Linked DNA regions of Anolis sagrei. The protein of the gene in region 1 purifies or fractionates together with the protein of each later gene. This does not show direct contact. Links are inferred from orthologs where the notes say so. Each region holds a gene or a part of one and is shown in the gene's direction. Other genes may lie near its edges.

What was found.
Region 2: the proteins of SLC12A6 (region 1) and STK39 purify together in Homo sapiens (affinity purification with mass spectrometry; 3 studies listed by BioGRID and IntAct, with this or other methods). This does not show direct contact. The link is inferred for Anolis sagrei from reciprocal best matches to the Homo sapiens genes SLC12A6 and STK39.

The regions. Positions count from the first base shown.
Region 1 is NC_090026.1:13,085,249-13,092,319, reverse strand, and holds the start of SLC12A6 (solute carrier family 12 member 6), read left to right. Parts: upstream 1-2,018; 5' UTR 2,019-2,294; intron 2,295-6,256; 5' UTR 6,257-7,071.
Region 2 is NC_090021.1:195,636,340-195,643,410, forward strand, and holds the start of STK39 (STE20/SPS1-related proline-alanine-rich protein kinase), read left to right. Parts: upstream 1-3,170; 5' UTR 3,171-3,354; coding exon 3,355-3,571; intron 3,572-7,071. UniProt on the Homo sapiens protein: Effector serine/threonine-protein kinase component of the WNK-SPAK/OSR1 kinase cascade, which is involved in various processes, such as ion transport, response to hypertonic stress and blood pressure.

The DNA.
Region 1 (7,071 bases):
ATATATCAAATCACCTCTCAAAGAAAGATTCCCCCAGGCACTTCCAATCCATTAAATGCTAATCAAGGTGGTCAGTTGAAACATTCACACCTAGCTCCAGCAGACAAGAGTCCTTTGTCCCACCCTGGTCTTTCCACAGATATATAAACCCATTTTCCTACTTCCAACAGAACTCACTACCTCTGAGGATGCTTGCCACAGATGCAGGCGGAACGTCAGGAGAAAATGCCTCTAGAACATGTAGCAAAACCTACAACAACCCAAACATTTTTATTTACTTTTATAGGTTGTAGGCTTGGGCAATCCATGGTTCTAAATGGTTCTAAAGTACTTACAAAACTAAAGTTCTGGTGGTGAAAAATTTCAGAACTCTAACAAAACTTTCAAAATTTAATTATTATTTCATTATTGGTGATTTTAATGACAGAACCAATTAGGAACTGCCATTTATTATGAAATTTTGAGAGTTTTGTTAGAGTTCTGAAATTTTCACCACCAGAACTTTAGTTTTGTAAGTACTTTAGAACCATGGATTGCCCAAGCCTATAGGTTAGATAAAGGCCATCTATTTTTTGTAGGTGCTTTGAATAACTGTTTGTGTTTTCTCATTAACAGGGGACTCCTGCTCTACCCCACAACCTTTGTCTTGTGGGGTTCCTCAGGGTTCAATCCTGTCCCCCATGTTGTTTAACATCTACATGAAGCCGCTGGGCGAGATCATCCGGAGTTTCGGGGTGCGGTGTCATCTGTACGCAGATGATGTCCAACTCTGTCACTCCTTTCCACCTGCTACTAAGGAGGCTGTCGAAGTCCTGAACCGGTGCTTGGCCGCTGTGACGGTCTGGATGGGGGCGAACAAATTGAAATTGAATCCAGACAAGACAGAGGTGCTCCTGGTCAGTCGCAAGGCCGAACAGGGTATAGGGTTACAGCCTGTGTTAGACGGGGTCGCACTCCCCCTGAAGACACAGGTTCGCAGTTTGGGTGTGATCCTGGACTCATCGCTGAGCCTGGAGCCCCAGGTTTCGGCGGTGACCAGGGGAGCATTCGCACAGTTAAGACTCGTGCGCCAACTGCGACCGTACCTTGGGAAGTCTGACTTGGCCACGGTAGTCCACGCTCTGGTTACATCCCGTCTTGATTACTGCAACGCTCTCTACGTGGGGTTGCCTTTGAAGACGGCCCGGAAGCTCCAATTAGTCCAACGGGCGGCAGCCATGGTATTAACAGGGGCTGGGCGCAGGGAGCATACAACTCCTCTGCTGTACCAGCTCCACTGGCTGCCGATCAGCTACCGAGCCCAATTCAAAGTGCTGGTTTTGACCTTTAAAGCCCTAAACGGTTCTGGCCCTACATACCTATCCGAACGTATCTCGGCCTATCAGCCCACCAGGACCCTAAGATCTTCAGGAGAAGCCCTTCTCTCTATCCCACCTGCTTCACAGGTGCGGCTTGTGGGAACGAGAGATAGGGCCTTTTCTGTGGTGGCCCCCCGGCTTTGGAATGCCCTCCCTACTGAACTAAGATCAGCCACCTCGCTAATGGCATTTCGGAAAAAACTAAAAACTTGGATGTTTGTGCAAGTCTTCAATTGATTTTTGATGTGATGTTGTTTGACCATGGACTAGCAATCAAGGATAACGAATTGGACTACGATTTTAACGATGAGATCCGATCTGTATTGGTGGCCCAATACTATGTATGTTTTGTATGTATTCTTAATTTTAATCTATATGCTTAAAGTGAATTGTATATTTTAACATGTTGTAAACCGCAATGAGTCGCCGCATAGGCTGAGATATTGGCGGTATACAAGCGTACCAAATAAAATAAATAAATAAATAAATAAGTCTGTTTATGGCAACACCACTCTTCATTTACAGCATTTCCTTGGCCAGGATTAATACAGTATCCTCAATTGCCCCCTCAGAGAGTAAGAACTACAATTCCCAGCATCCCTAGCGCGTCCGTGGACCCTCTTTTGGCCGCCCCCCTCCCCTTTGTTTTCAAAGGGAAAATGAAGGGAGAAGCATCCAAGCAACAGTAGCGGCTCCTTGCTTGTGCGCATGCGCAAGAGGGAGAAGATGAGGACAAGCGAAAGCCAGGGGAAAGAAGAAAAAAAAAGAGAGAGTTCTGAGCCGCAGCAAGCAACCCGAGAGCAGCGGCTGGCCCGCGCGTGCGCACACGGAGGCGCGAGGGAAGCAAGCAAGCAAGCAAGCAAAGCGTGCGCGCGCGAGGCGCTCCTATTTAGAACGCCTGGGCAGAGGGAAAGCCAAGCTGCGCGCGCGGCTCAGGTAAACCCTTAACGGCTCCAGCCTTAACGGACTTTTCTCTCCCAGGGGCTTGCCTTCAGGGGTGGGCGGGGGCAAAGAAGGGAGCGAACGGAGAGCCCCGCGCATGCGCACTGCGCCCCCTTCCCCCCTTTCTGCATGATACACCTGTACTGTTCCCCTCTCTCTACCTTTGCTTTTCCCTGTCCTCTCCATGGTTCATCTCTTTATGGTTTTGTTTTGGCTTCTGGGGACCATTTCCACCCCCCAGTTCATTTTAAAACTAATAATTCTAACTTTACCTAGTATTTTTTTATTTTGTGTTGTATCCTATGTATTTTAATCTATGCATTATAACTCCTGAGAATGTGCAGAGTGCATGCCTCCTCAGTGATAATTGGGTTTTATATGTATTTTTTGACAGTGTTGTACCCCGCCTCGAGTCATGAAGGGGATAGCAAATTATTATTATTTTCAATAATCTATATAAGTACAAATGTAATGTTTGCTTATGAGATTAACATACCGTATATACTCGAGTATAAGCTGACCCGAATATAAGACGAGGCTTATATTCGGGAAAATGTATTGACTCGAATATAAGCCGAGGGTTGGAAATGCAGCAGCTACCAGTCAATTTCAAAATAAAACTAGATATCAATAAAAATACATTAATTTTAGTTACGAGACGTTAATGTGTTGTTATTGAGATGTCATTAGTTTGTATTTTATACTGTTAATGGTTTTAATATTGTATGTTGTTGGATGGCTTTTGCTCTTGTTGTGAACCGCGTTGAGTCGCCTACGGGCTGAGAAACTGCGGTATACAAGCAAAGTAAGTAAATAAATAAATAAATAATTAGACCGCACCTGGAATATTGTGTCCAATTCTGGGCACCGCAATTCAAGAGAGATATTGACAAGCTGGAATGTGTCCAGAGGAGAGCGACTAAAATGATCAAGGGTCTGGAGAACAAGCCCTATGAGGAGTGGCTTAAGGAGCTGGGCATGTTTATCCTGAAGAAGAGAAGGCTGAGATATGATAGCTATGTATAAATATGTGAGAGGAAGCCACAGGGAGGAGGGAGCAAGCTTGTTTTCTGCTTCCTTGGAGACTAGGACGCGAAACAATGGCTTCAAACTACAGGAGAGGAGATTCCATCTAAACACGAGGAAGAAATTCCTGACTGTAAGAGAACCCTAATAAGAATCTATACTGCAACAGAAACAACATAAGGAAAGGATAAGCTTGTACCTGAAGTAATCTATTAAAGAAAGAAACACATTTTGAAGGAGAATAAGTTTAAAACCTGTTTAGTGAAAGGAAGAGTTCTCTTAAGAGTTGTTTTATGAAATGTATTAATTGTAACCTGTGAAGAAATGTGCTTCTAAGAGCTAAGAAACATTGAAACTATCAAGCTTCTTCTATACTTCAATAAACTTGTTATAGTTTCTTCTAAAGTCAAGTCTCTGTTACAAATACGTCCAAGTTAAGCCACGCTACACATTGAAGAAAGACCAATTTAGTATTACAAGCCATTAGTTGTGTTATCAATTTAGTAAGTCCTTACAAAGTGGTGGCTCCTTTACAAACCGTTACAAACTGGTGGCCTCTTCATGGTTTAATACCCAGCATTTTTAATGTTGTGAAAGAAACTGTATTTGAGAAATATCAGTTTCTGTCATTGTCTTAACTACAATTTTGGAATATTTTAGAGATTTTTTTTTGAATACTCCTGTGTTTTCATACCCTTGGTTATTTTGTTTGTCTCTTTTCTTTGGATGCTCAAATTTTATGCTACTGTAATGCTAGATTCTAGTTCGAAGGAAAATTTGACACTTTGAATCCCATTTGGGAGGAAATTGTAGGTTATATGTGAAATGAGGAAGACAGAAAGGAGACTGAAGGAAAATTTGGTAACTTTGTGCCCCATTTGGGTGGAAAGTAGGATATAAGTCAAATGAATTTAAAAAAAAACCCTTTCATAGATACACCAATTTTGGTGCTCATTCTCACTCTTACATCATCATCTTGCTTGCCAGTGTCTTGTACATGTGCCTCCTTTTATGTGCTTGCTGTTTAAATTTGCTAAAGCAAATCCTTCTTTTTCTTTTAGCTTCCTGATTTCTGTGCATTTTGCTATTTTAAAAAAGACATCCTTACTGACTGACATTTTGGGTGCTTTAAAAGCAATAGTGTAACCCGTTTGGTCATATTTTTGGTGAATTCTTTCATCTTGAACCTATCCAAGTGCCCCATGAGATAACAAATGGGCTCCAAAGTATGGGAACCTTGTTGAACCCTGTGTAGAAATGACTCATGTCTACAGTTTCGTGTTTGTTTGAGACTATATATATATATATATATATATACACACACACGCACACACAGAGTGTATATATATATATAGAGAGAGAGAGAGAGAGCACACATTAGTATTGTCTAGTGGTTTGAGAATTGGACTATGATTCCGGTAAAGGTAAAGGTTTTCCCCTGACATTAAGTCCAGTCATGTCCAACTCTGGGGTGTGGTGCTCATCTCCATTTCTAAGCCGAAGAGCAAGGCGTTGTCTGTAGACACCTCCAAGGTCATGTGGCCGGCATGACTGCATGTATCTAAGGGTATATCTGCACAAGACATGGGCAAACTTTCAAACTTGGGCTTCCACATTCTAGCACTCCCTGCTAGGAGGACTGGCTGCCTGGTGATGGAAGGAAAGAGGAAGGAAAGAGAGAAGGATGGAAGGAGAAAGAGAGAGGGAAGGGAAGTAAGGAGGAAAGAAAGAGAGAAGGATGGAAGAAAGACAAAAGGGAGGGAAGGACGAAAGGGTGGAAAAGAAGGAAGGATGAAAGGGAGGAAGGGAAGGATGGAAGGAGAAAGAGGGAGAGAGGGAAGGAGGGAGGAAAGAGGGAAGGAAGGATGAAACAGTGAAAGGGAAGGAAGGAAAGCAGGAAGAGAGAAAGGAAAAAGAGAAGGAAGGGGTGAAGAGGAGAATGGAAGGAAGGAAGGGAAGGATAAAGGAAAGATAGAAGGAAAGAATGACAAAAAGGAAGGAAGGAAGGAAGGAGAGGAAGGGAGGAAAGAGGGAAGGAAGAAGAACAAAATGGTGGGAGGGAAGGATGGAAGGAAAAAGAGGGAGGGAGGGGAGGGAGGTAAGGAGGAAGGAAAGAGTGAACGAAGGAAAGATGGAAGGAGAAAGAGGGAGAGAGGGAAGGAGGGAGGAAAGAGGGAAGGAAGGATGAAGCGGTGAAAGGGAAGGAAGGAAAGAAGGAAGAGAGAAAGGAAAAAGAGAAGGAAGGGATGAAGAGAAGAATGGAAGGAAGGAAGGGAAGGATAAAGGAGAGATAGAAGTAAAGAATGACAAAAGGGAAGGAAGGAGAAAGAGGAAGGGAGGAAAGAGGGAAGGAAGTAGAACAAAATGATGGAAGGGAAGGATGGAAGAAAAAAAGGGAGGGAAGGGAGGGAGGGAAGGAGGAAGGAAAGAATGAACAAAGGAAAGATGGAAGCAGAGAAGGACGGAGGGGTGGAAGGGAAGGATGGATGGATGGATGGAAGGAGGGATAGGATGGGATGGGATGGTGAGAGAGAGGAGGACCTGAGAAAAGAGCCCAAGGGGCCGCATCCATCCCCTGGGCCTGGGTTTACCCACACGTGATCTGCACTGTACAATGAATGCAGTTTGACATCACGGGCTTAATGCTACGGAATAATGGAAATTATAGTTTGATGAGGTACTATTTGGCAGTGAAAGTTAAAGACCTTGTCTGACTACAACTACCATGATCCTATAGAAGTTAAAGTGGTGTCAGTCTGCATTAATTTTACATTATAGATGCATCCATGGAAAGCTACTGGGTGACCTTAGGCAAGCCATGCTCTCTCAGCTTCAGAGGAAAGCAAAGTCAAACTCTTTCTGAACTATTTGTGCCAAGAAAACCCTTGTGATAGGCAAACAACAACAGTGTTTTTGCTTTGTTTCTCCAGGATCCTAATATTCCCTCATGCGATTATCAGAGGCTGTTGATTTCCCTGCACTAGGCCTCATCCAACGGTTATCTTCTCCTGCCAGGACTTTTGAAACACCACCAAGAAGAGCCTGTGGAGTAATTCTCAATCCGTTGACAGGGACAGCACTATCTTAAGGAATCTGTTTTTACTGTTCTTGCATGGGACACTGTGATACACAGCCTCCGCCTTTTGAGATAAGAAGCCTTTCATTGTTTTCTGCAACAGGATTGTAAGGAGTATTTGCAACGAAAATTCACCCATCTTTTTTGGCATGTCCCTCTGCAAACACAGTGGATTGTGACCTTACTTTCACCAGGTACCCGGTAGCCTTTTTGCGCGCTTTGGGGGAAAAAAAATCTTTGCGCTCAGAAGCAATTACCTCTATGCATTTTGCTGTGCCAAAAATATTTTTGACCTAACAAGCAGGACTTTCCACCAGGGTTTTTGCCTCTTTGGGGTAAACATCAAGGACAGAAATTTAGTATAGATCAATTATAACCGCCTTTTTGCTTGGATCTGTAGGCTGCCTTTGGGAAGAGAAAAAAAAACCTTACCTCTGCTGCCTGATAAATGGGAATCTTTGGACTAATCACCCGTGAAAAATTTGCCTACAAAATCATGAGTGTTCACCATCTCACCAGCTCTGGTCATGCTTTTGGAAAATATACCTGATAATCATTGCTGTCTAGACACCACAGTGTATTAGTTGATTCGTCAATCAGTGCTAAGACATGAGTCTTTCTCTCAAGGGAGTACTTGGTAACAGGGTTGGCATCTTTGCCCATTTGAAA
Region 2 (7,071 bases), on another chromosome or scaffold:
TTGGAAATTATGCTGGTAATTATGGTGGGAGATGATGGGCTAAATTCAGCATTATGTAAGTTGGCTTTTCCCTGCACAGTATAAGTCTCCCCTTCTTTTCTTTCTCCTTGCAGCCCACCATGATCCTTATGCTGGGAGTAGAGGGGCAGGTGGGGCTGAAGAGAGACGCCTGTGATGCCTGTTTTATTCGTGGAAAGAACTGTCAGATTTGCACAACTAGTGCTTCCGGATCAGGAGTACGGTGTATCTGTTTTTGGTTTTATCCCAGATGAGAGCTAACCATGGGGCAGAACTTTAACTCCAAAATACCTTCAATACTCTAGACAGTTCTGACTAAAATTCTGATAAAACCTGGAGGAGCGAGTCCTCCGCACCATAAACATGGAAACCTCTGGCCTCTCCCAATAATAAAAAATGTTATTTGTTACCCTCCTCTCCTCACTGCTCTAAGCGGGCTACAACACAGGCAACACAAATCAACATAAAGTACATACAACTTTTTTTTTTTTACAAAATGATGCCATAACCTTTTGGCAAACATGTATCTCCATATCCATTTGGGAAATGGGATTCTAAAATGGAGTCTTAGTCCTGAACATGTCTAGTTTTGATCACATGGTCCTCAAACTTTTTAAAAAGATGGCCAGGTCACAGTCCCTCAAACTGTTGGAGAGCCGGATTAGAATTTGACAGGCTCGTCTGGCGGGGACAAGAGACAGGGCCTTCTCAGTGGTGACCCCTCGGCTGTGGAACACCCTCCTTAGGGATATTAGATTGACCCTCTCCCTCCCAAAAAAAGTAAACATCTGCCTCTTTGAACAAGCCTTCAGAAATGCAATGCAATAGACCAGGGGTCCTCAAACTTTTTAAACAGAGGGCCGGGTCACAATCCCTCAAACTGTTGAAGGGCCAGATTATAATTTGAAAAAATCATGAATGAATTCCTATGCACACGGCACATATCTTATTTGTAGTGCAAAAAACCACTTAAAAACGATACAGTAATTCAAATGAAGAACAATTTTAACAATATAAACTTATTCGTATTTCAATGGGAAGTGTGGCCCTGCTTTTGGCTGACGAGATAGGATTGTTGCTGTGTGCTTTCAAGTCATTTTAGACTTAGGCTGACCCTGACCGAGGGCTGGGTAAATGACCTTGGAGGGCCGTATCCGTCCCCCGGGCCATAGTTTGAGGACCCCTGCCATAGATAATAAAAAAGGCTTGCAACCCAATAATATTTCCATGATCCACACAAAACCAATCTGATGGGCTGGTATGAAAACCCGCCTGTGGGTTTAATTTTTGCAAGGATTTGACTAAAAAACTAGGAATATCTGTCCTCTAGTGCAATTGTATGGTAGCTATCTACCAGGGATAAGTTTTGATATTTTCCCATCCTTGTGGGAGGGGAGGCTTCTCTCATGTCTCCACATGGGGAGCTGGAGCTGACAGAGGGAGCTCCTCCACGCTCTCCCCGGATTCGAACCTCTGACCCAGGGGTCCCCAAACTACGGCCCGCAGACTGTATGCAGTCCGCCGAGGTCATTTCTCCGGCCCGTGCGCCCTGGCCTGGCCACGCTCACCTGGCGCCGCTCTGTCAATTGCGGACACCCTCTGCTCCGGCCGCTTTGCCTGTGTGGGAGGGAGAATTTATTTATTTATTTATTTCGAGGTTTTATATACCGACCTTCTCACCTTCAAAGAGGGATTCGGACCGGTTCACAACATGTGTTAACATACAAAGAATATACAATAACAACACAATGTCACTTCATAACATGATTAAAATATCAGCACTATACACATTAAAACATTATCAGCCTCCCAGTTGGGTCCTCTGCAAAGCAGAGCGGCTGGAGCAGAGGGTGTCCGCAATTGACGGAGCGGTGCTGGGTGGGCGTGGCCAGGGAACGCTGCCGTGGTGAAGGCAGGTGAACTACAACTCCAAAACTCAAGGTCAACGCCCACTAAACCCAGTATTTTCTGTTGTTCATGGGAGTTCTGTGTACCAAGACTGGTTCAATTCCATCATTGGTGGAGTTCAGAATGCTCTTTGATTGAACTATAAATCCCAGCAAATACAACCCCCAAATGCCACCAGTGTTCACATTTGGACATATTGAGTATCAGTGCCAAGTTTGGTCCAGATCTATCATTGAGTCCACAATGATCTCTGAATGTAGGTGAACCACAACTCCAAAACGAAAGGACACTGCCCACCAAACCCTTCCAGTATTTTCTGTTGGTCATGGGAGAACTGTGTGCCAAGTTTGGTTCAATTCCATCGTTGATGGGGTTCAGAATGCTCTTTGATTGTAGGTGAACTATAAATCCCAGCAACGACAACTCCCAAATGTCAGGATTCTTTTTTCCCCAAACTCCACCAGTGTTCAAATTTGGGCATATTGAGTATTTGTGCCAAGTTTGATCCAGATCCATCATTGTTTGAGTCCACAATGATCTCTGAATGTAGGTGAACTACAACTCCAAAACGAAAGGACACTGCCCACCAAACCCTTCCAGTATTTTCAGTTGGTCATGGGAGAAATGTGTGCCAAGTTTGGTTCAATTCCATCATTGGTGGGGTTCAAAATGCTCTGTGATTGCAGTTTAACTATAAATCCCAGCAACTACAACTCTCAACTGGCAAAATCAATTTTTTGAGTGAAGGACATACATTGGGTTGTTAGGTGTCTTGTGTCCAAATTTGTTGTCAAATCGTCCAGTGGTTTTTGAGTTCTGTTAATCCCACAAACGAACATGACAATTTCATTTATATAGAAGTGTGGGTTTTTGCTTTTCGATTTGGGGGGGGGGGGGGGGTTGCACTGCAAATAAGAGATGTGCAGTGTGCATAGGAATTCATTCACGTTTTTTTCAAATTATAATCCGGGCCTCCAACAGTTTGCGGGACTGTGACCCGGCCCTCTCCTCTGTTCAAAAAGTTTAGGGACCCCTGCTCTGACCTATTGAACCCATTGCGCCACTGAGGGCTGAATGCTATGGGGTGGTACTAGGCGCTGTGGTTGGACAAGGTGTGTGGCCTCGACTAGAGTGCTGGACCCCGAGGATTCCCTCGCCTGGAGCCCTGGCAGGGAGGGAGAGCGGGCCCGTGCTGCATTGGGAGGCTTGAGCGGCTCCTCCTCCTCCTCCTCCTCCTCCTCCTCCGGATGGCGGCCCAGCCTCCGCCCCTTAGCGGATGCGCGGCGGAGGCAGGCAGATGAGGCGGGTTAAAGGTGGTGCCGCCGGCAGGGAAGTTTAAAGGAGGAGGAGGAGGAAGGAGGAAGGACGCTCGCTTTCTCTCTTGCTTGCCGGCACTAGAGGCGCCGTTGCTGCTGCTCCTGCTGCATCATGGCGGAGCCGGGCGACTCGCCTCTCCACGTCCAGCAGCAGCAGCAGCAGGAGGAGGCAGAGCAGGAGCCTCAGCTACAGCCACAGCCTCAGCCAGAGCCCACTGTTGCTGCTCCAGTTGCTGCTGCTGCTGCTGCTCCTCCGGCCAGCCCGGCCCCAGCAGCGGCAATCGTCTGGCCCATCCTGCGGGACGCCTATGAGCTGCAGGAGGTGATCGGTGAGTGGTGCCTCCCGGGCCTGGCTGCCTTTGCGGCGCGCGCCCGGCCTCGTGGCCTTTCTCTCCTTGGCGCAGCTCTGACAGCCCTGGCCTGCCTCTTGGGTGGCTTGCAAAGGCACGCCTTTTCGCCTGTCTGTGCAGCCCCCCCCCCCCCCCCACTCCCGGGAACCAAGGTCCTCCTTGCCTTACGCTGCAAGTTTGGCACTCCTTTGAACTCTTTCGTAGCCCTCCTCCAGCCAGGATGTGGACTCATTCATGGGAGATGTAGTTTGGCCAGGCCTTTCTATACCGTGCCTCATCAAATTTGTACCCCACATTGCTACAGAATCAGGCATCCTCAAACTGCGGCCCTCCAGCTTTTTGGGCCTCCAACTCCCAGAAGCCCTAACAAGCTTGGTGGTTGTAGGTTTTTAAGGTTGTATGGCCATGTTCTAGAAGCATTCTCTCCTGACATTTCGCCTGCATCTATGGCAAGCATTCGCAGAGGGTTGTTGTAGGTTGTCAAGGTTGTATGGCTGTGTTCTAGAAGCATTCTCTCCTGACATTTTGCCTGCATCTATGGCAAGCACCCCCAGAGGGTTGTTGTAGGTTGTCAAGGTTGTATGGCCATGTTCTAGAAGCATTCTCTCCTGACGTTTCGCCTGCATCTATGGAAAGCATCCTCAGAGGTTTGTTGTAGGTTTTTCAGGTTGTATGGCTGTGTCCTAGAAGCATTCTCTCCTGATGTTTCATCTGCATCTGTGGCAAGCATCCTCAGAGGTTTGTTGTAGGTTTTTCGGGTTGTACAGCCATGTTTTAGAAGCATTCTCTCCTGACGTTTCGCCTGCATCTGTGGCAAGCATCCTCAGAGGTTTGTTGTAATTTTTTCAGGTTGTATGACCATGTTCTAGAAGCATTCTCTCCTGACGTTTCGCCTGTATCTGTCGCAAACATCCGCAGAGGTTTGTTGTAGATCTTTTGGGATGTATGGCCATGTTCTAGAGGCATTCTCTCCTGATGTTTCATTTGCATCTGTGGCAAGCATCAGCAGAGGTCCTCACAACCTCTGACAATGCTTGCCACAGATGCAGGCAAAACGCTAGGCGAGAATGCTTCTACAACATGGTCATATAACCCGAAAAACCCACAACAACTCAGTGATTCTGGCCATGAAAGCCTTTGACAATACACCTAACGAGCTTCTTCAGTTGTCAGGAATTCTGGGACTTGAAGGCCCAAACAGCTGGAGGGCTGTAATTTGAGGATGCCTGCTCCAGATGGTGAAGTGGTAAGGTAAAGGTTTTCCCCTGACATTAAGTCCAGTCGTGTCCGACTCTGGGAATTGGTGCTCATCTCCATTTCCAATCTGAAGAGCCAGCGTTGTCCATAGACATCTCCAAGGTCATGTGGGCCGGCATGATTGCATGGCGTGCCGTTAACTGCATTCTTTCTACAGCGGTGTTTCTAAGCCTCCCTTTTTAATACAGAGCCTCATGTGGTGGTGACCCCCAACCATAAAATTATTTTTGTTGCTACTTCATAACTAAATTCTGCTACTGTTATGCATCGTAATGTAAATATCTGTTATACAGGATGCATTTTCATTCACTGGGCATTGACCTTGAGTTTTGGAGTTGTAGTTCACCTCCATCCAGAGAGCACTGTGGACTCAAACAATGATGGATCTGGACCAAACTTGGCACGAATACTCATTATGTCCAAATGTGAATAGTGGTGGAGTTTGGGGAAAGTAGATCTTGACATTTAGGAGTTGTAGTTGCTGGGATGTATAGTTCACCTACAATCAAAGAGCAATCTGAAACCCACCAACGATAGAATTGGGTCAAACTTCCTACACAGAACCCCCATGATCAACAGAAAAAAGCCCTATGGGGAGCGGCTTAAAGAGCTGGGCATGTTTAGCCTGAAGAAGAGAAGACTGAGAGGAGACATGATAGCCATGTATGTGAGGGGATGTCATAGAGAGGAGGGGGCAAGCTTGTTTTCTGCAGCCCTGGAGACTAGGATGCGGAACAATGGCTTCAAACTACAAGAAAGGAGATTCCACCTGAACATTAGGGAGAACTTCCTGATTGTGAGAGCTGTTCAGCAGTAGAACTCTCTGCCCCAGAGTGTGGTGGAGGCTCCTCCTTTGGTGGTTTTTCAGCAGAGGCTGAATTGTCATCTGCCAGGAGTGCTTTGAATGTAATTTTCCTGCTTCTTGGTAGGGGGTTGGACTGGATGGCCCACGAGGACTCTTCAACCTCTATTATTCTATGATTCTATTATCTGTTTTAGCTCGCTTTCATTTTTAATTTTGGCCTTCAGGACACATTTTCCCCAGGTGACAAGCTCAACATTATAGAAGGAATGCAGTCTGACATTACTTTTACTGCCATGACTCAGTGCTACGGAATCATGGGAGTTGTAGTTTTGCAAGCCTTTCTGTGCCCAAGAGTACTGGTACCTCTCCAAACCACATCTCAGTGTGCGCTATAGAAGGAATGTAGTCTGACATTACTTTTGCTGCCATGACTCAATGCTACGGAATCATGGGAGTTGTGGTTTTGCAAGCCTTTCTGTGCCTAAGAGTACTGGTATCTCCCCCAGGAGTCTATACCATTGAGCCAGGGCAGGAAATAGTGATGTCAAACTGTATTTAATTTACAATGTAGTTGCACCCTCATTTTGGGGTCCCAGTATTTTCCCTTTCCTTCAGATCTGCTAATCCCTGCCCTACCCCGTTGATTTACCCTACTTTTGCAATTCTTAACTCTTCTCCAGGTCCTTCCTACTAGTTCCTGTCCTTAGTTTAACATTTCCATCCCCCCCCCCCCCCCGCCATCCGCCTCTTTGCTGGGGCATTAAAGATTGTGCTGTGGGCTTATTATCCAAATGTGAGGAAGTATATTTTGGCTGCTTTGGCCTTCATGGGAGACACTTAAAGCAAGGCTGGTTTGGGAGGAAGTGGTTACATGGATGTTGGTGGTCGGGCATTAGCTGGCTTCTCCCCGGCTTGTCGATAACTCAGCTAAAAACCTGCAGATACAGCAGAAACTCTAGGCGACATTCAGGGGTACCGTTTTGCTCTTTCTGTGGCTGTGAGAGAGAGCTAGGCCCATGCCCGACAGCAGCCATAACTCCGGTCGGATAGCACTGCCTCCGGTGCACCTTGCAGTTGCTTTAATATTGATGGCCACCAACTGCTGAAATGCTGGAAAGGAAGAAGAAGGGAGCCTTGAAAGGCTGTCTGTCTCAGTGCTGCTTTGACCCCCCGGGATGCTTGCCAAGACGTATATATTCCACGATATGGAAATCGTCTTTGGGAAGATGCAGCTGTTCCCGTTCTGAAATTAAGAATGACCTCTCTCTGTGTGTATTGCATTGCTTAGTTCTCTATTTTGGCCATTACTTCCCTTTTCATAAATACTTTGCTTTCCTCTTCCATCCCTATGGCTCCATCCTATACAATCCTCAAGTTTATACTCTATATACTCAGGTATAAGGCTGGAAATTTTAGT